Notamacropus eugenii: one gene and its partners. The protein of the gene in region 1 interacts with the protein of each later gene in a pairwise test. Links are inferred from orthologs where the notes say so. Each region holds a gene or a part of one and is shown in the gene's direction. Other genes may lie near its edges.

Region 1 (7,838 bases):
GAATCTCATAACAACTATGGGAGCTAAGTGCTATTAATATCCCCAGTTTACAAAAGAGGAAACTGAGTCAGTGATTTATCCAGTCACACAGCTAATGTGTCTGAAGCTGGATTTGAACTCAGGTGTTTCTGACTCCAGAACCAGCACTCTAACCACTATACCACCTAGCTGAACTATGTCATTCTGAGAACCAATAAAATCAAATCTTTCCATGTGGCCCAAATCTACTTTTCCAGCTTCAATTTCCAATGTACAGTCAAACAGAATTCATTCACTGGATAAGTATGCTTTCTTAGAACTTAAGAACTCCAGCTAAATCTAATCCAACATTCATTAATTAAACTAAAGCAGTCATCAAGGTAGTGAAGGAGCCAGTATGTTGTACTTGAAGTCAGGAAGATCTGAGTTCAAATCCTGTCTCAAATACTTCCTAGCTGTGTGACTTTGGGCAAGTCACTTGTAACCTTTGTCCATCTCAGTTCCCTCATCTGTAAAATGAGTGGATTGTAATAGCACCTCAAATAGTGGTCATACAGATCAAATGAGATAATATGTACATAAATATGTATATATATAAACTTATATGTATACATATGTAAAACATTTTGCACTATGAAAATTGCTAGCTATTATTAAGCCCCTATTGTGAAAGGAAAGAGAAAGATGATAGTTTGAGGGAATAGTAGATTGTAAGGGTTTTTTAAGACTTGGGGAGACCTGGGCATATTTGCAGGGAGCAGGGACGAAACCAGTAGATACAGATATTGAAGCTTCAAGAAACAGGGGATAATTGTGGGAACAATTTGCCAGAAGAGACAGGAGGGGACAGGAGCAAAAGTTTATACTGAAGGGTTAACTTTGACGAGAATTATCATGCTCTTTTCATTAAAGACTAGACTAACGGAGGAGAAATTGGCTATGATGACAAAAGATTTTGAGATGTAGAGAAAAGGGAAAGAGAGAACTCACATAGAGTGGCCTCTATTTTTCTCAGTAAAGCATAAGAGATCTGCTGACAAGGTAATGCGATGGACGGTAGAGGAAGCCTGAGGAGAAAAGAAATGGTCTGGAGACTTTGACAGAGAATGAATTAGCGTTTTAATAATTCATCTATGGCCTTAATAGCAAAGAAACAAATTTCTCTCTGCACCTTTGTGGATTTTTCTCTGAATTTTTTTCTTTGCCACAGGAAGGAAACTCAAAAGAATAAATCTAGCAGCACCCTCATTTTACCTAAGAGACAATGAGACAGTTAAGTTCTTATGGTAAAAAGCCTGTGGACTGGAAGTTCAGCATGTCAGCAAGGTGATATGGCTGCTCCCAAACCAAATTGGGTCATGGAGTTAGGACCAGAAGGGACCTCATCTAGTTCAAATCCTTCATTTTAGAAATGAGGACACTTGGGTCTCAGGAAAGTGAAGTTGGCTTGTCTAAGGTCATACCAAGAGCAAATGAAAGAGTCAGGGTTTGAACTGCAGACTTCTGATACTGTATCCAAGATGCTTCCCCTCCATAATATACAGACCTGATGAAACCTAGGGCTTTGGTAGCTACTGTAACAGTATCTAAAACAAAGGAGGCGTAGCCCTGCTCTGTTGTACACTCCTTACTTGATGAAGGAGATTGAATAAACTCCCATAATTCCAAGATAGATCCCAAGAACTCAGATCATTCTCCCCTCCTGCAAGTATGCACAAAATTCAGGAGTCTACTATTCAGGTCTATGTGTTTTCCAACCTTGAATTACCTCCAATTCTTTGTGCGTGGAGTTGATTTGTGACTCCCTCCCTATCATCCCCTTAACTCCCAGCTTACACTTCCAGCTGTAAATCTCTCCCAGAGAACTCAGTACTACATCCTCTGCCCCCTCTGGGAACATAATTTTACTTTCCCTGAATCCAGCTCGACTGGTTCTAACTTGCTGCCCCTCCTACGCTTCCAGCACCAGCATTAGCTGGTTGGGAATGAATATAGTATCAGTTCTTTGAACTAAACAGATCATCCCTTGTCCTTCATCCTGCTCTGGGTCTCGCCTCCCCCTTCCTAATCTAACACAACAAAGCCCTGGGTCCTTTTCTTACCTCAGGGTACAGAGGCCTGCTGGGTACTCTTATTATTTTACTCTTTTAACCTGTGGCCCATGAATTTTTTATCCCCACATATTCTCATGAACCTATCACTTTTTATGCTCTGGGATGATGATACAGACAAATGAGGATAAGAGTCTTGCCCCCTTTCACCCAGAAAGACCTAGATAGCATAAACAGGGTATGTAGAAATTTGTAGGCCCTCCCCATAAGTACAGCTGACATTTATAGAGAGAGATTGAAGAATCACCATGCTCTTTCTAAGCATTATCTTATTTAATCCTTATAACTGTCCTCAGCAGTAAGCACTACGTTTTACTGAAGAGAAAACAGGATCAGAGAGGTGAATTTGGTCTCACACATGGTCTCGCAGTCAGAAGTATCAGAGGTAGATTTAGAGCCCAGGTTTTCTTGACCCCACAATTAATACACTTTTCAATATATCTTGTCAAACAGTGAAAAAAGCAATTGACAAGCATTTGTTAAGGACCTGCTATGTGCTAGGTACTAGAAATAGAAAGGCAAAAATGAAACAGTCCTTGCTCTCCAGGAACTAACATTTTATTCAGGGAAATTTGTACAAAGAAAATTGAAAGGAGAGTGCTGACTCATTATCAGAAGATCAGAAAAGGCCTCATTTTTGAGGTTGATCTTGAAATCCCATAAATTGTTAGTACAGTGGAATCCTACCATGTGGGATTTAACCTAAATCCTACCTTAACAAGCTTATATGAGAGGTATTTAAATACCCCTTTCCCTTTAGATCTGCCATGTCTTTGACTGCACCACAAGGGTAGGGATGGCTGGGAGAGACAGGACCATAGAGATGAAGAAGCAATGGAATGAGGAAGAGGGATAGGGAAAAATAAACTATTCAGTTGTGCTTATATGATTTGTGGGTGCCACATGTCTGTAGGCTCCCAGAAAAGGGTTATCTTGCTTAATGAAGAGAATATTGGACTTGGAAGCAGAAAACCCCAATCCAAACCTCTTCTCTCCAACCATGACTAGCTGCATGACCAAAGATAATTCACTTTAACCTCTGAGCCTCAGTTTCCTCATCTGAAAAATGGATATAATACCTACAGTACTTCACTGGGTCATTGGGTGGAAAGTGCTTACAAACGTGTTGTTGTCTTGGAGAATTTACCCTTTTCAATATTTTAGTTTCAACCAGGACTGAATAATCTACTTGATTAAGGAGACTGAATAAACTCCCATAATTCCAAGACAGATCCCAAGGACTCAGACCATTCTCCCCTCCTGCGAGTATGCACAAAATTCAGGAGTCCTCCTTGAATTATTGGGGAAATGCTCATGTGTCTCCTGGATGAAGTTGACAGTATTCATCTCACAGTGAAAATTATCCTGACTCTCCCTCATGTGGGTAGGGAAAGGCAACCATGCCTTTTCACAACGCTCCCATAGTACAGCTGTGAGGGACAGAATGTGAGCCCAGTCAGGCATTTGTCCCATTCCCTAGCCTTCCAAAGCTGTGTTAGGCTTTCCTTCGGAAAAGCTGTTGCAGTTTTCCTTTCACATGGTATATATTTGACATGGTTTATTAGGAACTCTTTCAAAAGGATTCAGGGCACAGGAAGAAGGGCAGGGTTTTGGTTCTGATACGAACACAGTTCTCCTAGGGCTAGGTTTCTTAACATTTTGTGACACAGAGCCATCTCAGCCTGGTGAAACCTATGGCTCTCTTCCCAGGGGGAAAAACTTTAAATAACTGAATGCCAAATTTCAGTTCATTTGAAAATGCCAAAGACTTAGTGGTGAGAGAACCTCATTTTTGGAGTCTCCAGTAACTGTGGTTTGTGGAGGAGTTGGGGCCTTCCTTATCTACAGTGGCACCTGAAGGGTCTCATCTCATTGAGCCCTTCCCCTGGAGCAGGGTTGGGCCAGTGCTCTGGAGCTCTTGGACTCACCGGTCTATCCCTGGCATTTGTTGGACAGCTGTTACCTCTGGAGGTGGGCAGGGGATGCCGGTTGGCCCTTCTCCACCAGGGTTGCTCCCTACATGATGGCTGTAGTATACCAGAGGATGGCAGGGGACTTACAGATTCTTTTATCAGTCTTCCATCCCATACATGAACAACTGAGACAGATCAGGGAGGAAGGATGGGGGCGGGGGGCGGTTGGAGAATGCCCTTCCTCTTCTACAGGGTGATGGAAGGGCCTGCCTAGAACTTCTGGGCCTGGTGATCAGGGGGAGGAAGAGGGGCAGAAGACGACTTGCCCTAATTGGGTGCAGCAGGAGAGAGGGAGACAGACAGACAAAGACAGAAACACAGACACACACCCAGAGAGAACCACAGACGGACAGACGGACGCAGAGCTAGAGAGGGAGCATGCGTGCGTGGCCCGAGCCCGGGGCTAGGCCAGGGGGGAGCAGGGACAGAGCGCCCCTGGCCGCAGGGGGGGCAGACGCCCACCAGGGGGTGGCAGGTGTTGGGAAGGGAGGGGGCGCGGCTCCCCCAGACTCGCTCCTGCCCACAGCCCTTCGCCCTCTCTCCCGAGCCTCAGGGGTCCATCCTTAGGGCCAGGGGCGGCCCGAGATGAAGGGAGAACCTCAGGTGCGGGCCGGGCTCGGGGGCCTCCAGGCCATCCCTCCCTAGAGAAGTCTCCGCCCAATGTCGAGGCGGGGGGAGGGGCGGGGGGAAGGGCGGGGGGAGAGCTGGGCTCGCGCCGCCCGGCCGGAGGGGGAGGGGCGCAGCGCGGTGCAAGGTGACGCCGTCTCCTAGCAACCAGCCTCGGCTCGCGGTCACGTGCACAGGCCGTGGGTCAGGTGGCCAGGCCGCCCGAGCCGGACCTAGGGGGAGGAGGCGGGGCCGGGAAAGTTTGTTTCCCAACTTTCCGGGTAGAGTCCGATCATCCGCAGCCGCAGCCGCAGCCGCAGCCCCGCCGCCGCCCCCTTCTCCGCCGTCCGGTCCCGGCCCCGGCTTGGCCTGGGATGGAGCTGCCCGCCGTGAACCTCAAGGTAGGGCCGCGGGTGGAGCGGGGCGGGCCCGGGGACGGAGGCCCGAGAGGGACAAAGGGGTGCCCGGGGCGGAGGGGCGTGGAGGAGAAGAGGGGGCCGAGAGGAGGGAGAGGACGGGGACGGGAAGGGGCTGAGAGATCGACCGAACGGGGAAACTGAGGCCCGCCCGGGGTCACCGAGGCTGGGATGCCCGCAGCTGGGTCAGACCCGCTCCAAGTCGTGTGCCTTGCGAGCCAGGGAGGGCCACTGAGGAGAGAGGAGGCGGAGGGGGCATGGGGCCGGGAGGAGAGGGGAGCCCGGGGATCAAGGGGGGCAAGGGAGGGCCGCCGAGGAGAGAGGAGGCGGAGGGGGCGTGGGGCCGGGAGGAGAGGGGAGCCCGGGGATCAAGGGGGGCAAGGGAGGGCCGCCGAGGAGAGAGGAGGCGGAGGGGGCGTGGGGCCGGGAGGAGAGGGGAGCCCGGGGATCAAGGGGGGCAAGGGAGGGCCGCCGAGGAGAGAGGAGGCGGAGGGGGCGTGGGGCCGGGAGGAGAGGGGAGCCCGGGGATCAAGGGGGACAAGGGAGGCGCCTGGAGAAGTTATCCAGGCCTAGAAAACCGGCCCCACCTGAGCCTGGGGAGCATGTGCTCCAAGCGACACCCCCCCCCCCCCATCCAATCCGCCTGGGAGCATATAGATATAGATATCTATAGATAGATATATGTACACACGACCTCGCAGCATGTTTTACCCAGTTTACTGAAGACTGAAGAGCGAATGAGGAGGAGACGGCAGAAGTTTGGGGTGTCGCTTAAGAATTTGGCAGCTTTGGCATTCATTTGTACTTTGCTTTAAAAAAACTGTATAAGGTAAATTTTAGGGGAATTTGTAACCTGTGACAGGCTGCTTCTGGGTAAGTTTTCTTGCTGTCGCAGAAATCTTTAGTAAAACTTCCATCTTTTCTCTTCAAACATTCATGGTGTCAGAAAGTGGGATTTAAACCCTACACCTCCCTAAGGAGACCAGATTCATGAACCATCACATTTACGTATATATGTATGTGTATATATGTACATATGTATGTGTATATATATTTATCAAGGTGGATAAGCATGTTGAACTTGGAGTCAGAAAGATGTGTCCTGCCTCAAACACTAGCCTTGTGATCATGGGCAGGTCACTTAACTTCCCTGGACCTCAGTTAGGCCATCTGCAAAAATGGGTCCTGTGTATGAGGTGTAGCACCCACTTCCGGGCATTTGTTGTGAGTCTCAAAGAAGGTCATCTAGCTAAAGGGCTAGGTCATAGATTTGGAGTTGTTAGAACTAGGGACCAGGGATTAGAGGGAGGAGAGCTTTAGGAGGGAGAGAGGGGACCTGGAGCTGAGGGCAGGCTAACCAGGCCAGTTCCCTTATATCAGATAAAGGACAAGAAGGAGAGAGGATCAGGGAACTGAGGACAGGAGGGTTTTGAGGAAAGAGGGAGACAAAAGGGTAAAGGATGAGGAAGATGGAAGTCTTAGGGAATGTGGGGGCTGGAGAGGTGCGGAGACAGCAGGTGGGGTCTGAAAGAATGAGGACAAAGGGAGGAAGGGGGCCAGGGGATGGAAGTCTACGCTGGGGAGGGCTAAGGGCCTCCTTAGCAGGAGAGGAGATGGGGAGTGGGGCAGCTGGACAAGGCAGAGTTCTTAGGGGTGAGGGAACCTAGAAACTGAGGAGGAGGAAGCCCAGTGGGCAGATGGGAGAGAGTCCCTGGGAGTGAGGGGTAGAAAAGCTTAGAATGAGTTATGGGGGAGGGGGACAGCCTGGGGGAGGCAGGGTGTGGTTGGAGAGGAGGCCCTCAGGTTTTCCCTGACCAGCCCCCATTCCTGGGATACTTCTCCTCTCCATCTCCATCTTCTCCCTGGCTTCCTCCAAGACCCAGCTAACATTCCAGCATCTGGAGGAAGCCTTTCCCCATCCTGTCTCAGTCTAGCCCCTTCCCTGTGTTGACCCTCCCCACATGTCCTGGACTTAGCTCCTGAGCATGGAGGTTTGCATGTTATTTTAGATGTTAGGCTGCGAGCCCCTTGGCCAGGGCCTGGTGTTTTCCTTCCTTTGGATCTCCAATGCTTAGCCCAGTGCCTGGCACAGAGGAGGCCCTCACTATATGCTTGTTGACTGACTGCAGTGGAATCATGAGGGAGAGGAGGAATGGAGAATTAGGAGGGAAGTGATTGGGTGGAGGAGATAGAGTTGACAGAACTGAGAAACCAGGCTATGGGTTTCTATGGGAATAAGAAAGAGATCGACTGAATGGGGAAACTGAGCACAGAGCGGGTTAAACGGCTCACCCAGGGTCACCGAGGCTGGAAAATGCCTGCAGCTGGGCATATAGGATAAGGAAGAGCAGATGGGGTGGCTGAAAGGCTAAGGGACAAAAGGAAAACTGAGGAGCAGAGGGGGAACCAGGAGGGAAGCCATCAGGGGACAGAGGGATGCCATCCAGGTGCAGAGGGAGGAAGATTCTGGAGCTTAGCACCAGGCCTGGTACATGGCAGGCACTTAAATACTTGTTGACTTCTTGACGATTTGGATATAAGTGGAAGGACACAGATGGAGGGAAGAAGGAACTGAGACTACTGGAGGCTCGATGGGCTTGTTTAGAAAGAAAAGGGCTGAGTACCCTGTGATCACAGGCCTGGGTACTTGTCCTAGGCTCCTCTAACCTACAGACCTCCCATGGGGACTTTCTGAAGAAGAAGAAGGGCTGGGGATTGCAAAAAGGAGAGGACCCAGCCCATCCCAGCAACCC
Region 2 (7,728 bases), on another chromosome or scaffold:
GACAGATTGAAGTTCTGGGGAGAAATAGTGAGCTTTGTGATACCAGTATGTGACTTTGAGATAGGTTGGGGACATTGAGTTTGAAATGTTTTTATAGGTAATTGGTGTTGTGGAGGCTAATGCTCAGGCAAGAGACTGGGGATGGATATATAGATTTGGGAGTCATCTGCATATAAATGATCATTTAACCCTGGGAGCTGGTTAAGGCTCAGGAGGATGAGTATAGAGAGACTAGGCGGCCAGTGGAGAGCTCTGGGAAACACCCACAGTTGGGGGGCGTGATGAAGCGGCCTAGGAGACTGCAGAGTGGTCAGGAGAGAGTGGAGTCAGGAAGAGAGGAAAAGGGCCACAGGAGTCCCCAGTCAGCGCCAAGGCAGGAAGGATGAGTTCATCCGAGGCCTATCAGTGTTCTAGGAGCACCAAGTCCGGTTTTGTACCTCTTATGAGCAGAGTTGTCTTGGCCAACTTACTTCTCCATACCATGTATCTCTACTTTCTGTTAATAATTCCTGAACTTTTCGCCTCCTGGAGGTGGAAGTAGAGAAAGCCCTTTGTACTTCCCCAGCTTTGCAGTCAAGGAGTCGGTAACTTGAGGCCTAAAGGGAGGCTTCTCTAATGTTGATCAAAAAACAAAGAGAAATCAAAGAAAACCAAAGAGAATTTTAGAAAATTAGCTGAAATCACATCAAAAGGTATCAAAGTGAAGATACAGGGGGGGAAAATGCTCTGAACAACTGAAACTGCTCGAGTGCCAAAGTGATTCAGTGGAACAAGAAATATTCCAGTGACAGATCATCATAAAAGGACATATTACCTACTAAAGGAATGAAGCAAGATTAACCCTGGTAAGAACACCCCAAGACTGGAAGACCAGAAGAGTTTATAGAAAACAAATGGTGGGTTGGGAGGCAGGGAGGTGGGGATAGAATTGACTTTGGACTTGGGCACTTGGCATCCATGGACTGGCTGTGACATGGCAAACCCATGTCACATTCTCCTTTCTGGGTCTTAGCTTCATTATTCCATAAGATGGAGAGTGGTGTTTTGTAAATCATGTAAAAGTGAGTTCAGGGTCACACTACATCCATAGATCAGAACATAGTGACCTCCTAGCTATCTGTTTGGAGGGGGTGGGAGGGGTGGGGGGAGAAGTGCCTTTCAGATTAACAGAGCAGAGTACAGGTAGCATGGCCCAGTGGGAAGTACACAGCCTAGAGTCAGGGCCTGGTTTCACCACTTTATTAGCTGTGTGTAAGGTTTTGGGACAAGTCACTTAACCTCTGAGTGTCTGATTCCTGTAATGCCAAACTATGAGACTCCTCCTCTCTTGAGGGCTGGCTCTCTAATGTAATGCATTTTAATATATATTTCAGGGAAGGTCAGCAGGGAAAAGACTGCAGATTGGGATCAGGAGTGGAGCCTAGTCTCCTGGTTTCTTGTGTCGTCTTTAGGTGAAACACAAACTCAGTTCCGTTTCTGTGTCAGTAAAGTGGGGACAATGCCACTCATCCATCTGCAGCACTTGTGAGCCATGGTGGATGCAGCATTCCTTAGGGAGTTAGCTAGCATAATAGGACTGATTGTGCCGAATGTACTGCTGGCCAGATCCTGAGGCCCAGAGCCTAGTCCTTTGCTGGTACAGCAGAGTTTGTCCTATTTCCTGACTATATCTGTGTTGAAAGATGCCACCGTCCAAAGGAATTGTACTGATGATGTGAGCTTTCTTTCACTACTAACTCATATTCATGGACAAGTTGGAGAGCTGTCTGGAGGCCTGAGAGTAATTGACCATGGTCACTGGGCCAGTTATGTGCCAGAGGCGCGTGGATTCAGGTTTGCAGGTTGGCCCTGTGCTCTCCACCAAGCTTTGCCTCCATACCCACAGGCAGCTCAGAGAGACTGGGTCTCCCAGGAAGTTATTGCTCTGTGTGCCCCAAGGTCTGTCCTGGAAGCAGGGGCCACTTTGCCTTATGCTGAAATCACAGACACCTCCGTCCCCCTGCCTCCTCTAGGGGTTACTAGTAAGAGGGCTTACACCATCTCTGCAAAATGTCGATAACACTTGAGTACTGACTCTCACTGGGTTGATGGGGAGAAAGTGCTTTAAAGGTAACTCCTGCTTTGGGGACTTTGTTAACCTCCAAGCACTACTTAATCGGGAGCACTTTCCATGTACTTTGGCCTTCCGTGCTCCCCATCCCCCCATTGCTGCTCTCTGCTTCCTGCCCCCATCCCCTACTCCCTGAGGTTAGGTAATAGTAATGGGTAAAGGGTAAGTGTAGCCTCTAGCCCAGACTGAATCCCCTTGTAGTCAGGCCAGCCATGTTTACTGAAAATCTCCTGGGGAGGTGGCCCTTTATTCATCAGTGAAATTCCTGTATAAATAGAATATTTCTTAGTATTCTGCTGTTGCCCCTTTCAGCTTTGTCTTCCCCCGGTTTCAGTCTGTGTGTGGCCAGTAGCCATAGTCCCATTTTATGCCTGGAGAAACAGGTTAATTAACTTGCCTGAAATTACAGTGCCTTGCTTGGCCCTTCTCCAGATCTGTATCTGGAGGTTTTGGGTCACTGGTGTTTCCCAAGGTCATACAGCCTAACTTCTTCCTCCCTGGCTCCCCTTACAGCTCCATACTAATTCTTTGAGATAGTCCATAATAATTAGGAATCAATTCATTTGGACTCTGAAAGGGGGAATCTTGTTTTTGACTTTTCAGCTCTCCGGTTGACCTTGTGAAACTTCCTCTTTCAAGTCACCAGATGTTTGAAATCTTATCTAGCCCAAAGTTATAGGGGTGTTGCCCTTTGAGCAGGAAGGTCGGCCTGGTTTTAAGCTCAGGTCTGCATTAAAATTCAAGTGTCCCCAGGGCTTCTCTCATCTCAGTTAAAGGAGGGAGAAATGTATCCCAGAGGCTAAATCCTGGTGACTCGATGTTAGGAAGCTAACCTGTCACAAGACATGGGAAGGCTGGAGGATCTGTTGTTATCAGAGACCCTTTCCTCCTCAACCCCAGAAACTGGGACCAGGAGAATCTCTCCACTAGGTCTCTTTGTAGTTGGGGGACAGAGCCCCCCAATTATGGCATCTGTGTTTCCAGGATAAGACCCAGGCAGTGAGTACAGTGTTCTGGTGCTCTCTGTTAGAAATCTCACAAATGAGATTAGGATTTTTAGTTTGCAGGCAGTGAAAATTCAGACTTGGAAGCTATCGGTCATACTGTTACATACATTTTAGTTTGAATTGTCTAAGCAGGTTCCGTAAGGGGTGGAGAGGACTTGGAGGCGGAGTAACTATGGAAATTCCGCCTTACGGGGAAAGTTAAAAATAGCCCCAACCGACACCTGTCCTCCAGGCCATAGCCAGGAAGGCACGTGTTTGCAACTGCCTTCCCAGGCCTCCAGGCTCAGGCTCCATCCTGACCATTCAACTGAAGGAAGACCAGAATAAGGCCCTCTTCTCCTGTGGTGTGTGTCCTGGTTCTTACGTTGGGACGTTATGGGCCTTAAACTCTGGGAGAACAGTGCTGGCAGCCAGGAATTATAAGTGCTTACCATGTTCCTGTGCTAAGTGTACAAGCAACCCCCCCCCCCCCCCCCCCCCAAGGAGCTTATATTCTAATTTAAAGAATACTTGAGCAGCTGGAGTGGCAGTGATGGGAAGGCACCCCAGAGTTATTAACCAGGGTCAATGTGGATAATCAAAGTGCTTTTGGAGGCATTGTGGTGAGGAGTGAAAGATCCGCTAAAATGCCCATGAATGAGGTGCCCAGAGTGCTTCAGTGGTTCTTTTCTTGGTGCTGGCAGACAGCCGGGGGTCTGTGAGCCCCAGGAAGGACTTCAGCATGCAGGCTTATTTAGGAAGCATCTCAGTTGTGCCAAAGTAGTGACCAACATGTGGTGACCAGGGACTGGCCCTGGTGAACCCAGGGATCCTGGAGACGTGAGGCCTCTTCGATTCCAGAGGCTAAACTTGAATATCATAGAATTGGTTTCCTTTTCTAATTAAAACTCCAGCATAGTATCTCTGTGGAAGTATTTGCTTGGATCATTATCAACTGTACACATGGTTGTCCTCACCAGAGTGTTGCATATCATCTTTCTCACCCAAACACTTTTCCCCAAGAATAAGCATCTATGCTGTGAGTAGCAGAGAGGCTTCTTGGCATGCTTTCTCTTTTTTATGCTTCTTCCCCGTTTGACCCAATATTGCCTTCTGTGCCAGGGCAGTTGACCAGCCTATTCTCTGTTTCTTTATGAGAAGTAACCATGCAGCTCCTTACAGATGCAACCAGGATGCTTGGTGGAATGGGGTGGCCTACACCTCAGGAGACAAGAAAGGGTCTTCTGGGTATTAGATAAAAACTTTCATGTAAAGAAGGGGAGAGCTTTACTTCCTATCACAGATGTACTCATTCTCACCCCTACCCTCACCTTGTCAACTGTGTCATAAGGTCTACTTATCTCCCTCTGGAGCAGACAGGGTGAGGCAAGAGGCTTGGGCTTGCTGGTATCCGGATAGTGCCCATATGATCTGTTCAGAAGTCTAAGGACAGGCAGGAAGGAGGCAGCTGGCCCTCTAGGTTGGCCGTGACATGAGGTCAGGAGGGTGGCGGGAAGGTCTGAGCAGAAACAATAGCCTGGGTTGACTGGAGAGAACGCTGTCTTGACTGGTAAGTTGTCACTCACTGGCAGTTTTATGTGTTGTCTTCTGCTTTTACCTGCAGGGGAGCAATGGCAGGGACTGGTGAGCGCCAGGGAAAAAGCAAGAAGGAAGACAATGGCATTGGTACCGCCATCGATTTTGTGCTCTCCAATGCCCGGCTGGTGCTGGGGGTGGGCGGAGCTGCCATGCTGGGGATTGCTACCTTAGCTGTCAAACGGGTGAGTGAGGCTGATTAGAGGTGATGCTGGCACCAGGCAGAATCCAGGCTTCTCCCTATGGAGATTCAGATCCCTCCACAGCCTGGAGCTGCTTTGCTTTTCCAAACCTAGCACATACCCTGCCCTTGATAACAACAAATAGTAGGGACTCTCCTGAGCTCCCCTGTGTCCCACACCTAAGGGGTTCTCTCTGTTCTTTGCCTGCTAAATTCCTCTCCATCCTGAGAAATCCCTAGGATCCCCTGTGGTACTCTGTTCAGAATCTTTAATATGTGGTCATATATTATTGTGTCTTATGGTATCTGTTGGCATGTTGCTGCCCTAGAGTACAAGGACCACGAGGTTCCCTGAGGAATCCTATCCTTACTTTATTCACCCACAGTGTTTTAGCACACAGTAGGAATTTAAGTAAATGTTCAGACAAGTGAGGAATAGTGCAGGCTCTGATGAATGCCCTGGGTTGTTCACCCTCCTTTCTCACGTCTTGGTGGTGGGGGTGTTGTAGATGTATGACCGGGCCATCAGTGCCCCCAGCAGCCCCACTCGCCTGAGCCATTCAGGGAAAAGAAGCTGGGAGGAGCCGAGTTGGATGGGATCCTCACGGTTACTGCATCAGGACATGAAGACCAATTTGAGCAGGTCCCTGCAGACTCTGCCCACTGAGCCCTCAGCCTTTGACGCAGGTGAGAGTCGACCATGGATGGATCCCAGGGGAGAACAGGGTGGACCAGCATTGACAGGGGTTCTCATGTGGATTTTTTTTACCTTCCTTGGCAGATGGGTTCTGCCCCCCCAGACCCAAACCAGCCACCAAGAAGAGCCAGGTAGACTTGAAGAAGTCACGGCTCCGCCTGTCCCTACAGGAGAAGCTGTTTGCTTATTATCGGAACCGGGCAGCCATCCCCCCTGGTGAGCAGGCCCGGGCCAAGCAGGCTGCTGTGGACATATGTGCTGAGCTCCGGAGCTTCCTCCGAGCCAAGCTGCCAGACATGCCCCTGCGAGACATGTACCTGAGTGGCAGCCTTTATGATGACTTGCAGGTAATGGTCTTTTCACTGATGGAGCAGTTTCTGACCTTGTCCTGTTCTCTGATAATCCTGGTCATTCAGACCGAAGATGTCTCAGGCTTGGGAGAGAATAGAATCCTCTGCATCATAAGCCCTGCCTCTCCAGGACAGCATTATGACCTTCCCCATTCCCTTTTATTTGAGGGGAGCTTCCTTTTAAATCAGCATACCATTATTGGGTTTTTTGTGTGTAAAACCATGGGTTAGGCCCTGAGGAAGCTACCAAGGTAAGAGGGAGCTTCTGTATTTGTGTGTGCGCGGACAGTGGGGCTGACCTTGACTGCTCTAAGGGCTGAGTGGTGAGGGATACTCCCTCTGCTGTATCTGGTTCAGACAGAACCTTTGTTACACAGATAAGGCAAGGTCAGTAAGAAAGTTTGTAGGGTGAGGTTAGGAATGCCAGCACAGGCAGGACCTGAGACTCTGGAGTCTCCTCCAGAGTTCCCTAGTGTCCCCTTTGTGCCCTCTGGCATTCCACTGTTAGCAGGTAGGAGCAGTGGAGGCTGGTCTGGGCAGGAGGGAGTCAAGTTTCTTTGACTCTGTGTGGGACACGTTTCAGTATCACACCCTCTTCCCTGTGTGCTTTCTCTTGCAGGTCGTGACTGCTGACCACATTCAGCTCATCGTGCCTCTGGTCTTAGAGCAGAACCTGTGGTCCTGCATCCCTGGGGAGGACACCATCATGAACGTCCCTGGCTTCTTCCTGGTGCGGCGTGAGAACCCAGAGTACTTTCCCCGGGGCAGCAGTTACTGGGACCGCTGTGTGGTTGGTGGTTACCTCTCGCCCAAGGCTGTGGCAGAGACGTTTGAGAAGGTGGTGGCGGGCTCCATTAACTGGCCTGCCATTGGGTCCCTCTTGGACTGCGTGATCCGCCCAGCTCCACCCCCTGAGGCCTTGACCCTGGAAGTGCAGTATGAGCAAAACCGGCGCCTTGTCATTGACTTTCTGCCCTCAGTGACCCTGGGGGACACAGTCCTTGTGGCCAGGCCCCACCGGCTGGCCCAGTATGATAACTTGTGGAGGCTGAGCCTGCGGCCTGCAGAGACTGCCCGCCTCCGGGCATTGGACCAGGGTGACGGGGGCTGTCGAGCGCTGTGCCTCAAGATCCTTAAGGCTATATGCAAGTCCAGCCCGGCCTTGGGCCACCTCACTGCCAGTCAGCTCACAAATGTCATTCTCCACTTGGCCCAAGAGGAGACTGACTGGTCTCAGGACATGCTTGCTGACCGCTTTCTGCAGGCGCTCAGGGCCTTGATTGGCTACTTGGAGGCTGGAGTCCTGCCTAGTGCCCTGAACCCCAAGGTGAACCTATTTTCAGAGCTTACCCCTGGAGAAATAGATGAATTGGGGTACACTCTTTATTGCTCATTGTCTGAGCCAGAGGTCCTGTTGCAGACATAACGGAGGGGAAATCCGCAGTGGGTATTAGGTGGGCAGGCCTTGGGTATGCCTGCTCCGAGGTGGCCCCTCTTGGGTTCCTTGGTGCCTCCATTCTTGCTGGTCATCCATCACCTGCCAATTAGAATGGCCTTTTCTTGCCCTGCTCTTTTTTTTTCTCTCACTAAGCACTGTGCCCCCAGTTTTTTTTTCACTGCCCCTTCAGCAAGGCCAACTTCCTGAGTGCATCAGGAAGGGTGGGGAGCAAGGTGAGGGACCAAGCTGATAAGTTACTTGGTAACTTGTGTCAAGTTCACCCCTTCAGCTACCCAACCTGGCTCTACTTTCAGCCTCTTTTTGTGTGTCTCACTATTGCCTCTTTGTCCATCTGGTTTCTTTCTGCTCT
Region 3 (7,740 bases), on another chromosome or scaffold:
AGCGCAGTAAATTAAGCTGATCTTGAAAGCATTTGACAACATGGCTGAAAACATCATGCTAAAAAACATAGGAGCGAGCATATAGCCTTGTTTCACTCCACTGGTGACTGGGAAGGCATGAGAGCATTGTTCACTATCCAGAACCTGGGCAAACAAGCCATCATGAAATTGACATAAAATATTGATGAACTTCTCTGGGCAACCAAATTTTGACATAATTTTCCATAAGCCCTCACGACTAATAGTGTCAAAGATCTTGGTCAGATCTACAAATGTTGTGTACAGACCTCTGTTCTGCTCCTGGCATTTCTCTTGGAGCTGTTGGGCAGCAAACACCATATCAACTGTTCCTCGGCCCTTTCCGAAGCCACATTGGCTCTCAGGGAAATGACCATCTTCCAGGTGAAGGTTCAGCCTGTCAAGGAGGACTCTGGCAAGAATCTTCCCAGCAATGACTAAGAGACTACCAGACTTGGCAGGGAGTCCTAGGGAGGAATGGAGTTGGAAACAGTAGCAGCAATGGTCATTTGCTACTGAAGACTTGTGCATCACATGACCTTCTATTTATGTGAACACAATAAAACTTTGTGGACGCACCCTGGCAACAAACCCTGGCATCTAATAGACTATGTGATTGTAAGAAGAGACAGACAGGATGTGACAGTGAGAATTGATCACAGACTTATCCTCTCCTAGCTAAATATTCACATTCAACAAAAGGGGTATCCCCAAGGCAAAATGACTATCGAATTCATGTCAGCAAATTAGAGCTCATCTCTGAGTGAAAACAGTTTGTGACTAATTTGGAGGGAAAGTTGTGTTAACACACAGTTGGCAACAGTGGGGCAGAAAGGGAGTGGGCAGCTTTCAGAGATTTGGTGTATAGTACTGTATTTGCTCATCTGGGTCAGAACACTCGCAAACACCAAGACTGGTTTGATGAAAATGATAGGGAAATTCAGAAACTGCTAAACAAAAAACGAGAACTTCACAAGGTTTACCAGCAGGACAGTTCATTCATCTCTAAGAAGGCAGCATTTAATTCCATCAAAACTGAAGTACACGCAAAGCTTAGAAAGATGCAGGATTCTTGGCTCGGCAGGAAGGCAAATGAAATTCAGTTTTATGCTGACAGTAACAATCCAAAACACTTTTGTGATGCCCTGAAGGTTATTTATGGGACAAAGATCTACGATTCATTTCAACTACTCAGTGCTGATGGAAGCACATTGATTAGTGATAAGGACATGATCTTAGGGAGATCATGGGCTGAACACTTCCATAAGGTTCTCAACAGACCATCATCAATCAATGCTGAAGCCAGTGACCATTTACCTCAGGTTGAAATCAATCCCTCCCTAACCGAAGAAGTAGTAGGCTCCTTTCCTGGGACAAAACACATGGTGCTGATTCTCTTCCAACTGAGATTTACAAGGTAGGGGATTCATTGCTCATACAAAAGTTGACTGAAATTTTCCAGAAATATGGCAAGAGGAGTTTATCCTCCAGGAGTTCAAGGATGCCTCCACTGTCTATCTCTATAAAGGTAAAGAGAATAGATTGTCCTATAACAATTACAAGGAAGGGTGTCTTCTCAGATTCCTTAAGAGTCTAAGCCAATGCTCAGATTCCTTAAAAGTCTGGCCAATGTGGTAGATTTTTAGAATTATGTTCACCCAGTTGGTGTTCTAATAAAACTTGTCATTGGCTGAAAGAAGGTTTGGGATAGAGTTTATTTGGGCAGGACTCACTTGTCGCTATTTTGGGATCCTAGCACCCCTGAAACTCAACTAGTATTGTAACTTTTATTACATTGGTATGATCCAGCTGTGAATACTGAATATCCTTTCCACTATTTAAGTTGTTCTTTATCTCTTTAAGAAGTGTTTGTTTTATAACTGTATTGATTCAAGTATTGGGTGTTCTTTGGTAGAATGACTCCCAAATATTTAAATTTCGTAATTATTTTGAACGAAATTTCTCTTTCTATTTTTGCTTTCTGGATTTTTCCTCCTATACAGAAATGCTCTTGATTTTTTGAGTTTATTTGGAAGCCTGCAACTTTATTGAAATCATACATTGTTTTTCAATAGTTTGTACTGTTTGCCTCTTCAGCCCATATGGCTTTAACTATCATCCTTCTGCAGATGAGTTCAAGGTCAATATATCCAGTCCCAGTTTCTACCCTAAATTCCAGCCATGAATAACTAATTGCCCAATGGACATTTCAAATCAGTTGTCCCAAAAATATCTTGAACTCAACATCCCCAAAGTTAAAATCATCTTTTCCACTCTTCCAAATTTCCCTTCTTTCTGTCAAAGGTACCATTATCCTTCCAGTCTCATGGGTTTGTAATTTCAGCATCATCCTCAACTTTTCACTCTCCTTTACTCTATATATCCAATCAGTTGTAAAATCATGCCATTTTTACCATCACATCTCTTACATCTGACCCAATTTCTCACTCATACAACTACCAACGTTTGTTCAGATTCTAATCACCTCTCACCTAGATTATTACAGCAGCCTCAATCCTCTCCCCACTCCTGTCCATCTTCCAAACCCATAGCCCAAGTAATTTCCTTATTCTATTTGACTCTCCTACTCAACCAGCTCCAGTGGTTTCCTATTGCCAATAGGATAAAAATATAAACTTCTCTAGACTCACCAGACATTTATCCCCCTGCTACACCATGAGATCCAGCCCAACTGGAATTTTAATTGTTCCTCACACACAATGTCTTATCTTCCTGCCTTTGCACTGGTTGTCTGACCCACATGTCTAGAATGTATTTTCTCTCTTCTTAACTCTGCCAATTAGAGACCCTTACTTCCTTTAAGAGGCAGTTCAAGCACCTTCTGCATAAAGCCTTTCTTGACTCCCTCAATCATTACTGCTCAAGTTCCCAAAGTACCTTGGATTTAACTACTTTGTATATATTTGTACTTATTCATGTTATATATGTTATCTATTTCTACATGCATTTGTTCTCTCCCTCTTTGGAATGTATGCTACAACTTTGTAAATGGAAAAAATAACAAAAGATTCAAAATTAAATGCTAACCTTGTCCCCAAATAAAAGATATGAGAAAGCAACTTTTTTGTAGAAGTTGTCAGGACTATGGGTGTGGAACACTGCATATAATGTCAGACTTCTTTCCTTGTCCTGATTGGTTTAACTGTTATTTTTTTCTCTTTTTAATTCTGCACTATAAGTAATGGCTCTCTGAGAGATGAAGGACATACACTAAAAAGTACAGATTATGAAAAACAAAAAAAACCAATAACAATATATACATATTTTTGAAAGTTGGCTCTTTGGGACTCAGATACACTCTGGCCTTTGCATGGGGTCAGGATTTGATCTCAGTATAACAGACTCTCACCATAGAAGTAAGGATCCTCAGAGGTTGGTCCCAACCCTTTACCTGAACAGTAATTTTCCCCCACATTCCTAATGGAGGGACAAGCTTGTCTCAGAAATTTGCTTTTCACATTGATAATAGTGGTCCAAGTTATTGCTGTCCACTTCTTTTACCTGTAAAGTGCCTGGCATGGTTGGCCTTACAATACCCACCTAAAAAGAAGAGACAGAGTTGATAAACCATCACATTAGGGGAGGGAAATATCAGTCTGGAGCATAGGGTAAGAGTAAAACTTTTTTTATTTTGTGGACCTGACAGGTAGGGGCTCTGGAACCTCTCCCCCCGCCCCCAACTCTCCCTGAACTTTCCATACGGTCAAGTCTCCGTCGGTCACCTGAGGCATCCCAGTCATCCCCTCATCTGGCCTTTCACTATGGCCTACACCCAATCTCCCAGTTCTCTGTTGCCCAGCTCCCCACTGTCTGTTACCTCTGGTTCACCCCCAGCCACCTCCCACCCTTGAGTCTATCTAGACCCCATTCTCTTGGTCTAGGTCCCTGCTTTCAGGCTCCAGTCACTCCAGCCTACCGGCTCCTGCCATCAAAATCCTCCCTAGACCCCGCTCCTTCGGTCACCCCAGCCTACTGGCCACTTCTAGAGCCTGATCCTTCCCACGGTCTTCCTGTACATAAGCTCCAGCACGCCTCCAAGAAATTACCAGTACTTGGATCCCTTAAGAGTCTAGCCTGGATGGCGAATCTTCAGAATCACACCCTTCTACCTGCGCTCTAACAAACCTTATCTTTGGCTGAAAGCTTGGGGCCAATTCATTCAGGCAGGCCCTGCCCGTCTCATCTCGGGGTCCCAGCACCCCTAAACCTCAACAGACCCAACTTGGGACGGAATTCCCAGTAACCGTCCCCATCCGGGGCAAGGAGAGGCTCCGCTTCCTTTCTGGGACCCTCTCCTCCTCTGCGTCACCTCCCCAGGTCCCCGGCGTCCCCCACCTTCCCAGGGAGCCCTCCCAGTTCTCCTCAATGCCGGCGCCTGCCTTCTGGGCCTCCCCAATTTGTCCCAGTGGTTTCAGGTTTTCTTCTCGTTAGACTACACGTGCCTTGAGGACAGGGGCTGCTGTTCGGCCTTTTTCTGTGTCACTGTCCAGACCACCGAGGGATTCAGAGCCGTGTGGTCCCGGGGGAGCCGAACCTTGGGCCCGGAGCCGCGCCCAAGGCGCGTCCGAGGCGCCTCCAGCACCGGCGCTCGGGGCCGGCCTTTAGCCATGAAGTCACCAAGCCCCGACTCCTCCTACTGCCACGTGCTCCAGGCCTAGTTCTCGAGAGCCCGGAGGTGACGTCACAGACGCGTTTCATCACAACGACCACTTCCGCCGTAGGAGGAAGCGCAGGCATTCCAAGCCGGAATCCCCACGGGCTGCCGCGGTCCTTCGGGCCGCTCTTTGAATCCTGTGCCTTTAACGCCGAAGACACGCCCCCGCAGCCCCCGGGGACGCCTCGCCCCGGCCGGGAATGCCCGTTAGGGAGGGGGCGTGGCCTCTGGGTGATTGGCCGTTCGAGGTCTGTTTTGGAACGTGCGGGACGGGAAGGCATGCCTCTGATTGGGCGCATAGGTAGTCCGTCCGGCCCGAGCCGGGCGTCAGGGTTCCGCCCCCTTGGCTTCGAATTTGCGGCTGCGCGCTGGGAGGAGAAGGTTGGAGGTTAGAGAGGGGGCCGGCCCTGGGTCTAGGAGTCGGGGGAGAGGAGGAGGAGGACGAGGGACTCACCGTGGGCCGGGCCTTCTCTTCCCAGGTGATGCGGTGAAGCGGCAGTGCAGGTAGGAAGGGCCTTCCGCTGTCCGAGGGGCCCCAAAGGCCGACGTCCGGGGCCTTTCCGGGGCGCGGGGGAGCGTGTGGAGGTGCGAGGAGGGAGAGGAGCCCTTCGCCCAGCAGGGGGTCCTTGTCCCGCACCGGGGCCCAGGGGGAGGGGAGAAGGGAGCCTCCGCGGTGACTGCGCCTGCGCCGGCCCCGCCGGAGCCCGAGGCTGAGAAGGATGCTCCCACCGCCCTCCCCGCCCCTTACACCAGGGGCGCCCCCGGTGCCTGCGGGGATCCGACTTGACCGGGGCGGGGCACGCGTCCTAGGTGGGCCCCGAGGCCCTCCTGCCCTGGAAAGGATAGGAGGTAAGCCGGCATCGGAGGTAGAGGAAGAGGGATCTTGGGGAGATCGCAGATCCAGAGCTGGGACGTTCAGAGAGGTCAAGGGACCTGCCCAAGGTCACAGAGCGAGGCCGCCCCTCTTTAGCCACGACTTCCGGGGTGCTAGCCTGCAAAGCCTGGGCTGGGAAGCCTCCCTGGACGGACCAGGGCCGGGTCTGCGAATTACGGACGTGGAGGTCTGCCTGGGGGAGCGGGCAGAGGTTTGGGTGGGGGCGGAGGAGGGGTGAGAGGAGTTGGGAGTGGTCCAGGTGCGACTTGGGGCTGGGGGTCAGGAATCAATGCCCCCCATTCTGTTGTGGTTCTTAGGTGAGTCCTAGGTAATGGACTTTAGAGAGCCGGTAATCCGGAGCCTGGTTTTGCTATATAGGATCCATCCATTTTGTAGTAAGGGAAATTCAGTCCAGAGAAGGGGCGGCAAACTGCCCAAGGTCAGGCAGCTACTTGTACTCCTAGCAAAGCTGGGAGGAGTTTAGTCCTTTACACCAAAGAGGGCCCCCTTAGTTGTTTGGAGTGTTTGCTAGAGTCAGCTTTGTTTTTAACTGGGAGGGTCAGAACTCCTGTACTTCCCACGCTGACTGGTTCCTCTTGCCCAGCAGCTGAATTGTGGGCCTGCGGCTGAGCTGTTTAGACTCACTGTGGGGAACTGGATACTGACGGCCCGATTGTCCTCATGAACCCCAGGGGGACATTAAGAACCCTACTTGGGCTTAGCCTGGCTCCCTCTTCCCCAGCCTTACCTGCTGGGAATGGGAGTGGCCTGGAAGATCCTTTCTGAGGATACTGGAGCTTTCCTGATAAGTTCTCACCCTCTGAAGTACAGTCTGTGTGCCTGTGAGAGAGGGCCCCTTGGGGTGAGTGACTGTTCTCCAGAGTGGCTGATACAGCTCTAGGATTACCGGCCAACCACTGTCCACCAGTCTCTGAAAATACAGGTCATGTTTGCACAATTATCCTCTGCAGAAAACTAGAATGTCTTAGCTTCAAGGAACCATCTAGCCTAACCCCTTCTTTATACAGAGAAGGAAATTAAGGCACCTCAGAGTGGGAAATGACTTGTTTGTGGCCACACAGTTAGTAGTAGAAACTGCAATCCAGGTCTCCTGACTCTTGGTTTGTTGTTTTTTGCACTATTCTGGAGTCTCCTTTAAAGAACACTAGAGCACTTCCTAGGTTTAGACTTCTTGGTGCAGTGACTGGAATCAGAAAACCTGAGTTCCAGTCCCACCTCAGATCCTTAATACCTTTTTGTTGTGACCCTTTAAAAAGTTAGAGAGACATAATTTCTGGGTAATTTAATCATTTTATTAATAAGGCTAGCAGGTTATTAATAAAAGAATGGCCATTTGTCCATCCCTCTTCTACATTTCAGAGAGGAGGTGTTCCCCAGGGGTGCCTGCTCAACCCTGATTGGTTAATCAAATGGGAGGTAGGCTATCTTGGGGTACTTGACCTAGGTCACTCAAATCTTGGTCAAAGAGACATTAGTTAATATCACCTGTCTTGATAATAGGGAGAGTCAACATTTTCTCTGGACGTATTTGTAAGCTAACATAATAAGCAGGAATGCATCCTTTAGCCCAAACTTAGAATTTCTTTTACTGTCTGATTAGATCTTGGCCTGGATAAATCTCTTAAGAGAAATTTCCCACACTGGTTGATTTCTAGATGAGGAAGTAGAAAAGGGGAAGAACTTTGGTCCTAATATTATAATTATTAAAGTATAAGAGAGAAATATTCATTTCTCACATTGTCCTTGAAGTAAATAACATAATCTCCCTTACTTTCCAATCTGTAAAATGAAGAGTTTTGGACTGGAAGCTGCTTAGGTCCCTTCCAGCTCCAAGTCTATAAACGTTTGACCTCATCCTGCTACAGTGAGAAAAATGGACTAAGGGATGGAACGTAGGAGCAGTTCTGTGAGAGGGTATTAGCATTGGACCAAAGACCCCAGTGAGTACTTCTAAGTACTGTATTTGTCCATTTTAGCCCCACCTTTTCTCTGATTTTGGAATCTTGTGAGAAGCCTCCAAGCAAAAAATCCTATTTTATTTTACCATCTGCCTGGTAAAAAAGTAGAGTTGATACTATTTCATTTGGCTCCAGCGTAGAGAAGTACAGCCCAGGGTAGGTGTGCTCTTGTCTCTCTGTGAATTTGATATTAA
Region 4 (7,489 bases), on another chromosome or scaffold:
CTTTATCTCCCTCTCTCCCAGCTATAGTTGTGAATCTTATTCTTATTACACTTCTGAACTAAGGAGCTAATTTTATAAACTAATTTTATAATCCATTTAATATGTAGGAAAACTGAGGCAGACAGTAAGGTTATCATCAGCTTTGGCAATGGTCATAGACACATTAAGACTGGAATAGACCCCATGGGACTGGGGAAGGAAGGAAAGAAAGAAGTAAGAAAAGAAGGAAGGAGGAAAAGAAAGAAAAGAGCTTAGATTCTTTCCATATCATAGCCTTTTGGTGTTATTTTTCAGCACTACAGTGTCAAATTTAGATTTTCTACCTCAAATAATGTGACTTAGCTTTAATTTAGTTGCTGTGCATATTTCTTATCCAAAACTGGGGGATATTTACCTAAAAAATAAAGTTTTTGCTAAAATGAAAAATATAAAGAACCATAGATATTTTTGCTGGATAACAGGTGCTATATTCTTCTAGCAGGCTCTGGATCACATAAACAAAACAATAAATTCTTGTTAATCATATGTAGAATCTATATTATAAGCCCGTTATAATACATAAGAGAATTAATATCACAATATTCAGATGACTTTGAGGTCTTGTTGATTTAGATGCGCTCACCAACAGAACAGATCATAAATCAGCCATGCCTAAGTATCCTTGGAACTCTTGTCCATTAACTTCCATAAATTTGACGTGGAGGTGATGGTGATGGTAGTGCTGAAGGTGGTTGACACAGCGTGATAGGGGCTTTCTTTACTTTCTTCTGATACTCTGAGTAAATCAGTTGGAACTTTTCACTTGTCCAACTGCTAACTTTTGCTCTCAACACATGACCAGCAAACCTTCCTTATCGATCAGGCCTAAAGCTTGTAGGAGGTTTAGAAAAATGCAGTAAGCATTAGCACAACATAAAAATTGCAATTAAATTAATAATCACTGTAGTAAATAAGAGGTTAAAAGAATCAATTAGAAAGAATATAAGGTTAAAACCCTCTGCTCTCCTTAAAGGATCAGCATGGCCAGAAAAGAAGTCGCTAGAGTGAAACAACAAGCAAGGTGAAGCTTCTATATTATTCCCACCCTCCAACCCCCAACCTGGGGCTGCACTGTGTATACCTCAGCAGCAAAGAACAAAACAGTCTCTTTGACCCTCTTAAAAGACCAGTCTGACTTATATTTAACAAAAAAAAAGTGTTCCTCTTTTCACAGTACATTTCATTGATGGCATCCTTTACTCCAATTTTTCTTTGAAGTTTTTAATTTGTAATATGTTGCAACCTGCTTATATCCACCATGTATTTCTCTATTTTCTTCTATGTAATATATATCTGTTCCAATTACCTGAGGACTATGATTTCTATGATTTGAACCACCAAAAGAACATTTGTATTAAAAAATGCACCTTTGTTTCTGGGAGAAATTTGGGGTCTACTTCTGAGAACCACCCAAGCTCAGGATGAAAGGCTCCAAGGACAGGATGGCTTCCTGGTGATGACATCTCTGGCCATGGGAACTCATGAAACAAAAGAAAAATATAAAGTGATGCTCATCCCTGGCACAGCCTTCTTTTATTTTTACATCAATCATGACACTGATAGAAAAGGGACAAAAGATGCTAAGAAATAACCTCTTGGCTCCTTACAGTTAATTATTCATCGATCCTGATTAAATGTAGAAATCATGTCTGTTCATGTAGAAGTCATGCCTACACAGTTGGGATGTTTGCAGTATTTTAAGTGACTTAATACCTTTCTAATTAAAATTCATATTTAGTGTTTCATTCTACATGGGGGATGTCAGTGGAAAACTCAGTCAATCCATCCAGTAACTTTTCAGAAAAAAACAAGCTTTCAAATACCAGACAAATGAAAAACAGATTTCAGCAGCTACATGCTGCTTCCTGAGTAACTGAAGAATGTGCCTCTTGTGGTTAAAATAAGGGATCTATTTAATATGGATGAAATACCAACACTCCAGGCATTTTCATTGACATTTCACTGTGACTTTTTGAACTTAAAATGCTGACATGAAAACCTATTTTGGTTGTTCTGCAAAGCCTGTAATCTGATTGCCAAAGTGAGGAAGAATAGGTATGGGTCTCTCCCTCCCTCCTAAAAGTTATATCTCAGGATCTACAATACAATTTATCATTTTTAAGTTTTATTTATGTATCACTTTTTCCCCAATTGTATCTCTCCCTCCTTCCACCTGGAGAGCCATCCCTACGAACAAACAAAAAGGGAGAGGCAGAATAGCATTCCTTGAAAGTTATCCAACACATCAATCAAATCTGTCAGTATATGCAGTGTTCCACATTCATAATTCACCCTTTCTGCAAAGAAAACTACATCCTGATATTTCTTCTTTGGGGCGAACTGTATAGCCTGTTACAATGACACTTTTGATTTTTGTTATTTTTCTAGCGTACATGGCTGTAATCGTTGTATATATTGTTTCCTGATTCTGTTTGCTTCACTTTACATCCGTTTATATCTTCTCAGCCTTCCCTTTACTTTTCATATTCGTCGTTCCTCTGTGTGCATAATATTCCATTGCATTCAGGTACCACAATGTGTTTAGCGTTTTTCCATTGAGTTTTTACTTTATTTCCAGTTGTTACCAAGAAGAGGCAGGTAGGTGGCGCAGCAGAGCTTGGAGTCAGAAAGGCATCCATTCAAATCCTGACTGGCATGAATAGTTTTGTGACTGTAGTCAAGTCATTTAATCTCTCAACCTCAGTTTCCTCATCTGTAAATGGATTCAAGGACCTACCTTTTCATTCTAAATCTACGATAAGTGAAAAAGTGCTTGCAACACAATTTAATTCATCTTCATTTCGCAAGTTACTTATTCCACTTTTTTCTCCTTCCAAATACATTTTCCTTACTATGGTGAGAATCGCCTTGCTAAAGCAGGGCTGAAATCATACTATTTCCACATCTCAGCTGTTTCAAAGGGGATGAGGTAGGTAAAGTATTGTTTCAAACTTTAAATTGTTATATAAATGCCACTGCAAATGAAGCCCAAGCTCTTTAGCCAGGCATTCAATACCCTCCGTTAATTTGGATCCAATTTTCATCTCTAGCCTTCTCTTTCCGGGATCTACTACTCTATGCTAGTCTTTTTCCTTCCCTTAATTTGTCACCACCTCATGGAATGGATTAGTTTAGCACATCACATTCCTAGCTGGAGCAGTGAAAATGCTAGTTCTGGGAACTGGGAAGAGATGAGAATTCTACCTAAGGATATTAGATCCTCCAGAAGCTTTCCCAAAGTAAATCTACCAAAAAATCGGAGTTTTCGGAAACATTCCCCTTGGGCCCTGCAATGTGATCCAACGGGTAAAGGGCCAGGAAAAACTCCAGACTAATATAGTCTCTCAGCCCCCCCCCCCCAATCCGAGCTCTTCGGCTCCGGGGCAGCTCTGCTTCAGGTCGCTGGCAGCAGCCTCCGAGTGACAAGCTGTTTGGTTTTAATCCTCCCCATTCTTTGCTGTACCATACATAACCCCTTTGGCCGGATGGGGCTATCCTCCCCGTGCTGCTGATGTCAGACACACGCTCGCTCTCCCACTTAGCCTGGGCAGGAGCGTACTGCAGGCTGCAGCGGGGACTCTCCAGCCCAAGTCCAGGTGGATACAAACTCCCAGGCACGCACCGAGCCCCAGGAAGGGAGAAGGGGGAGGGGGAGGCGTGGAAAAAAAAAAGGCAGCTCCTTCCCGCCCTCCCCTCCTCCAGAAACCGAGCTTGGGGGAACCTAGGAGCAAAGCAATGCTGAGCCGGGATTGTTCCTCCTTTCTACCCCAGCGCTAGCTAAACCGGGAGTTGCCTGGGGTGGGAGGGAGGGGGACTGGAAATCTTGTTTACCGCCCGAGGAGGAAAATACATCCAGCCTTTGTCTGGTGAAGTAAGCATCTCTCCTCTCTCTTCAGCTGCTATGGGCTCCTGGTGACATTAACATTTCGGAAGACTGGGGGAAAAGGGGTGGGGGGCGGGAGGCGGTGGATTGGTGGATTTGGTTTTTGGAGGGGAAGTGGGGGGAAGCTTTGTGCATTCATTTAGATTCGAAAATTTTGTATTTCCTTCCCCCTCCCCCCCCCGGGGTCGGGCAGGTCTTGATCTCAATCGCCCCCTTTTCCAGCCCCGGCTGCTAATCCCGAGCTATTTCGAGCGGGTCGCCCATCCTTTGTGATTCTGGCCACATCGCGTGGTGAGGGGGGGAACCTCTTGGGGGGAAAAAGGGAGGGGGAAACCCACGAACCCAAACCTTGACTTGCTCTCCGCGTGAGGAGGAAGGAAGCAGAAGCAGCAGCATAGCGGCGGCGGCGGCAGCTCCGAACGCTCGGGGTGTTGTTTTCTGCTCCGGGCAGCGCTTGGGTGTCTGTATGCTGGCACTCGGTCTCGCCCGTGTTTGAGAAAGCTGATCTGCCTGGGGGGCTGCCCCCCCCCAGTGCCCGCTTCGGGGGGCCTGCCTCGCCTCGGAGAGGGTGCAGATAGAACTCGAACTCGCCCTCCCGGCCGTCCCTTCTGAGGTTCGCTGCTCTGCACCAACCCCCGGGACAGCGGGAATATGCTCTTGAAGGAGTACCGGATATGCATGCCTCTGACCGTGGACGAGGTGAGTGCAGCTGCCTGGGGAGAGGGGGAAAGGGGGTACGCCGGGGTCCCGATTTCATCTACACACACCCCTTTCTCCTCCTGTCCTACAACCCTGCAGCTCCCTCAATCTTTCATATATAGTGTATTCCACATTGTCCTCCGTGGTCGCTCTCAGGAAGGCCGTGACCATTGCAAAAAATGAAAGATAGAAAGAAGAAAAAAGCCAGTAAGGAAATCCTGTTTAAACACCACCCCAGAAGGAGGGGGGGCAAGTTTGGAGTAGAAGAGAAAGGAATTCTGCTGTTTTCACTTGTCACCGTAAGGGTGTGTCGGGAGGGAAGGTCTGAGGCGCTTCCTTGCTCAAAAAAGGTCTTACGTAGGTGATGACTTGGGTGGAAGGGAAGGGGGGCAGGAATACATTTGGACTGTATCGAAAAGACTCCCCCCACCCCCGGGCTCTCGAGTGTAGACGGGCACCCCCTTTATCTTTAATTGAAAACCAAAACAAAAAGCGAAAACGAAAACCAACCCCTCCCAAATCCATCCCAAAACAAATACAAAATACTACCACTACTCAAGTTCACAGCTCCAGGCTCCTAGAAATCTGAACTGTTAGGGCGCACAAGTCAGCCTCCTGTCTTCATTCCCTCTTTAAAATGTGAGCCGCCTCACACCCTCCAGGTGCTCCCGATCGTGCCCCAGTGGGGGAGCCCTTTCTCTTCTCTCTCTGTGCCCTGGTGATTAGGAGAGGCTGGCATTCCTTACACTCATTCAGCAAAGAAGTAGGAAAACCTTTGGAAGATTTCTCACCTTCATTCCCCTCCCCCCCATCCCTCCTTTGCTCCTCTTCCTTCCTTTCCAAAAACTCTTGGGAAAAATTGGGGAATACAGATCATTGTGTGTAGCCTCCAGTCCCTAATCCTGGAAATAGTGTTGCAAGGGAAACTTTCCCTCCCCTCATTGCTCCTGGCTTGAGGATTTTGATTCTGTAGGAATTCCAGGTGGTTTCAGGGGGTCCAACTGGGCCACAGGATGGCGCCCCCAGTACACAACTTTTCTTTCTGTCTGCAGTATCTTTTTGCACCTTCCCCTCCTGGGTCCTGCTGCAGTCTTGTGGTAGTGGAGGTGCTGGCTGACATTCTTTCAAGTTCTCATTCCAACCAAAAAACAACCAAGCCTGTCTTTATTCAGAAAATGATGGGCAGATGCACTGAGTGTCTGGATCATCCAAACAGACTGTTTCTTCCTTTCTTTCTTTCCTCCTGTCTTTTGATCATTTCATAACTGGCTAGCATGTGGGGATGGGAACCAGGGAAACTTAAATAAGACCACTATTATAAGTTGTTAGGAGCTTTAGAAAGTTTGGGACAAGCATAAGTTTAAACTAGCAATCTGAATGGTTTTTTTAATGTGAATGGATTTCCATGAATGCATTCAGTCATTCAATTCAACAAATATTGGTTGTATTTAAATGTGTATCTACTGGTATAAATCACCTTGTAGGGCCCTGGATGAGAGAGGCTGATGTGGTTTACTGAAAGACTAGTGACTGCCAGCTAGGAATCCAGTCGCTCTTTCTAGCTCTAGCTCCATCACTAATTAGTTGTGTCACTGTTGGCAAGCCATAGTATCTTTCTGGGCCTCAGTTTCCTTATCTGTCAAGCAAGGGAAGTGGGATTTAGGATGATATCCAAGATCCTTTTCTGGTCTGGTATTTCTTGTCTAGATGTCCACAAATAACTACAGTATTTTACATCATATTCATGATCTTGTCATAGTTAACCTCAGAGGGTGGGTTGACTTTGGTTAGGGTCCTCAAAGAAGTTTTATGGGAAGGGGTAGCATATAATCTTTGAAAAATAGCTGAGGATTTTGATGGGCAGAGAGGGCATTCCAGAAAGAGGGAAATTCATAAAAAAAAACCTTGAAAGCAGGTAAGTACAAAGCTTGTTTAAGGAACAGTGAGTAGGTCAGTGATTAGTAAAGACTTGCTTGAGTTAATGAATGGAGCCTGGAGTTTGGATGGGGGAGGAGTGGGAGAAAAAAGGATGCATTTTCTTTCTGTCTCTGTACACTATCCCACCATGACTAATTGAGTTGATCGAAGTTATACCACTTCTAGAAAGCTAGTTAATTATTTGGTTTGTGGTGGACCTGTGTAATCAAGGGGAAGGGTTTGATATCTTTAATATTGCATGGAATAGTATGAAAAGTATAGAAAATTACTATAGTTGTGTGTGTGTGTGTGTGTGTGTTTCTGTGTGTGTGAGAGAGTGAGAAAGCCGAGAGTGCTTAGTAAAAATTCTTTCACCTTTTGCTAACATGAAATAAATGCCCAGGGCCATTTTGGGAATGTGAGCAGTTATTTTATATAGGTGGAGGCCTTTTACATACTAATTAGCAAGCTGAAAGGAACCCCTCCTTTAATGATGGATAATTAATTTGGCCTAAATAAAATATGATTCATTATTTGTAAGAGGTCAGGTTTTAAAGTAGCTTGCTTCTCTGTCTTTCAGAGTTTTAAGGGTAATTTAAAATTTCAGATGTTCCAAACTGCAAGAAGGTCCAGAACATACAGTTCAATCCTTCATTTTACTTAGGAGAGCTGGTACTTACAGAGGGATGATGTTTATGGAAGGTCACCTGACTCTTCTCTTGCAGGGCCTGGACTAGAACTTAGGTCTTTGATACCTAGTGCCAATTGTTTGTTCATTCCTTCCCTAAAGTAGTGAAGTCAGGTAGGTAGCTAAGGAGATAAAGTACTGGACCTAAAACCAGAAAGACTTGAGTTCAAATCCAGTCTCAGACACCAAACTACCTGTGTGACCCTGGGCACATTACTTAATCTGCCTACATCAGTTACCCCATCTGTAAAATGGGCATAATA

The links.
Region 2: the proteins of AGTRAP (region 1) and MIEF1 interact in binary tests that used the Homo sapiens proteins (3 or more experiments, as listed by UniProt). The two-hybrid records come from large-scale screens. The link is inferred for Notamacropus eugenii from reciprocal best matches to the Homo sapiens genes AGTRAP and MIEF1.
Region 3: the proteins of AGTRAP (region 1) and MIEF2 interact in binary tests that used the Homo sapiens proteins (3 or more experiments, as listed by UniProt). The two-hybrid records come from large-scale screens. The link is inferred for Notamacropus eugenii from reciprocal best matches to the Homo sapiens genes AGTRAP and MIEF2.
Region 4: the proteins of AGTRAP (region 1) and PITPNC1 interact in binary tests that used the Homo sapiens proteins (3 or more experiments, as listed by UniProt). The two-hybrid records come from large-scale screens. The link is inferred for Notamacropus eugenii from reciprocal best matches to the Homo sapiens genes AGTRAP and PITPNC1.

Annotation. Positions count from the first base shown.
Region 1 is NC_092876.1:51,143,935-51,151,772, forward strand, and holds the start of AGTRAP (type-1 angiotensin II receptor-associated protein), read left to right. Parts: upstream 1-4,830; 5' UTR 4,831-5,043; coding exon 5,044-5,070; intron 5,071-7,838. UniProt on the Homo sapiens protein: Appears to be a negative regulator of type-1 angiotensin II receptor-mediated signaling by regulating receptor internalization as well as mechanism of receptor desensitization such as phosphorylation.
Region 2 is NC_092874.1:298,740,202-298,747,929, forward strand, and holds the start of MIEF1 (mitochondrial dynamics protein MIEF1), read left to right. Parts: upstream 1-4,727; coding exon 4,728-4,877; intron 4,878-5,382; coding exon 5,383-5,560; intron 5,561-5,654; coding exon 5,655-5,917; intron 5,918-6,539; coding exon 6,540-7,346; 3' UTR 7,347-7,728. UniProt on the Homo sapiens protein: Mitochondrial outer membrane protein which regulates mitochondrial fission/fusion dynamics.
Region 3 is NC_092874.1:335,796,888-335,804,627, forward strand, and holds the start of MIEF2 (mitochondrial dynamics protein MID49), read left to right. Parts: upstream 1-4,740; 5' UTR 4,741-4,972; coding exon 4,973-5,081; intron 5,082-5,172; coding exon 5,173-5,197; intron 5,198-5,389; exon of another isoform or gene 5,390-5,542; intron 5,543-7,740. UniProt on the Homo sapiens protein: Mitochondrial outer membrane protein involved in the regulation of mitochondrial organization.
Region 4 is NC_092873.1:328,567,226-328,574,714, reverse strand, and holds the start of PITPNC1 (cytoplasmic phosphatidylinositol transfer protein 1), read left to right. Parts: upstream 1-4,482; 5' UTR 4,483-4,573; coding exon of another isoform or gene 4,574-4,621; intron 4,622-7,489.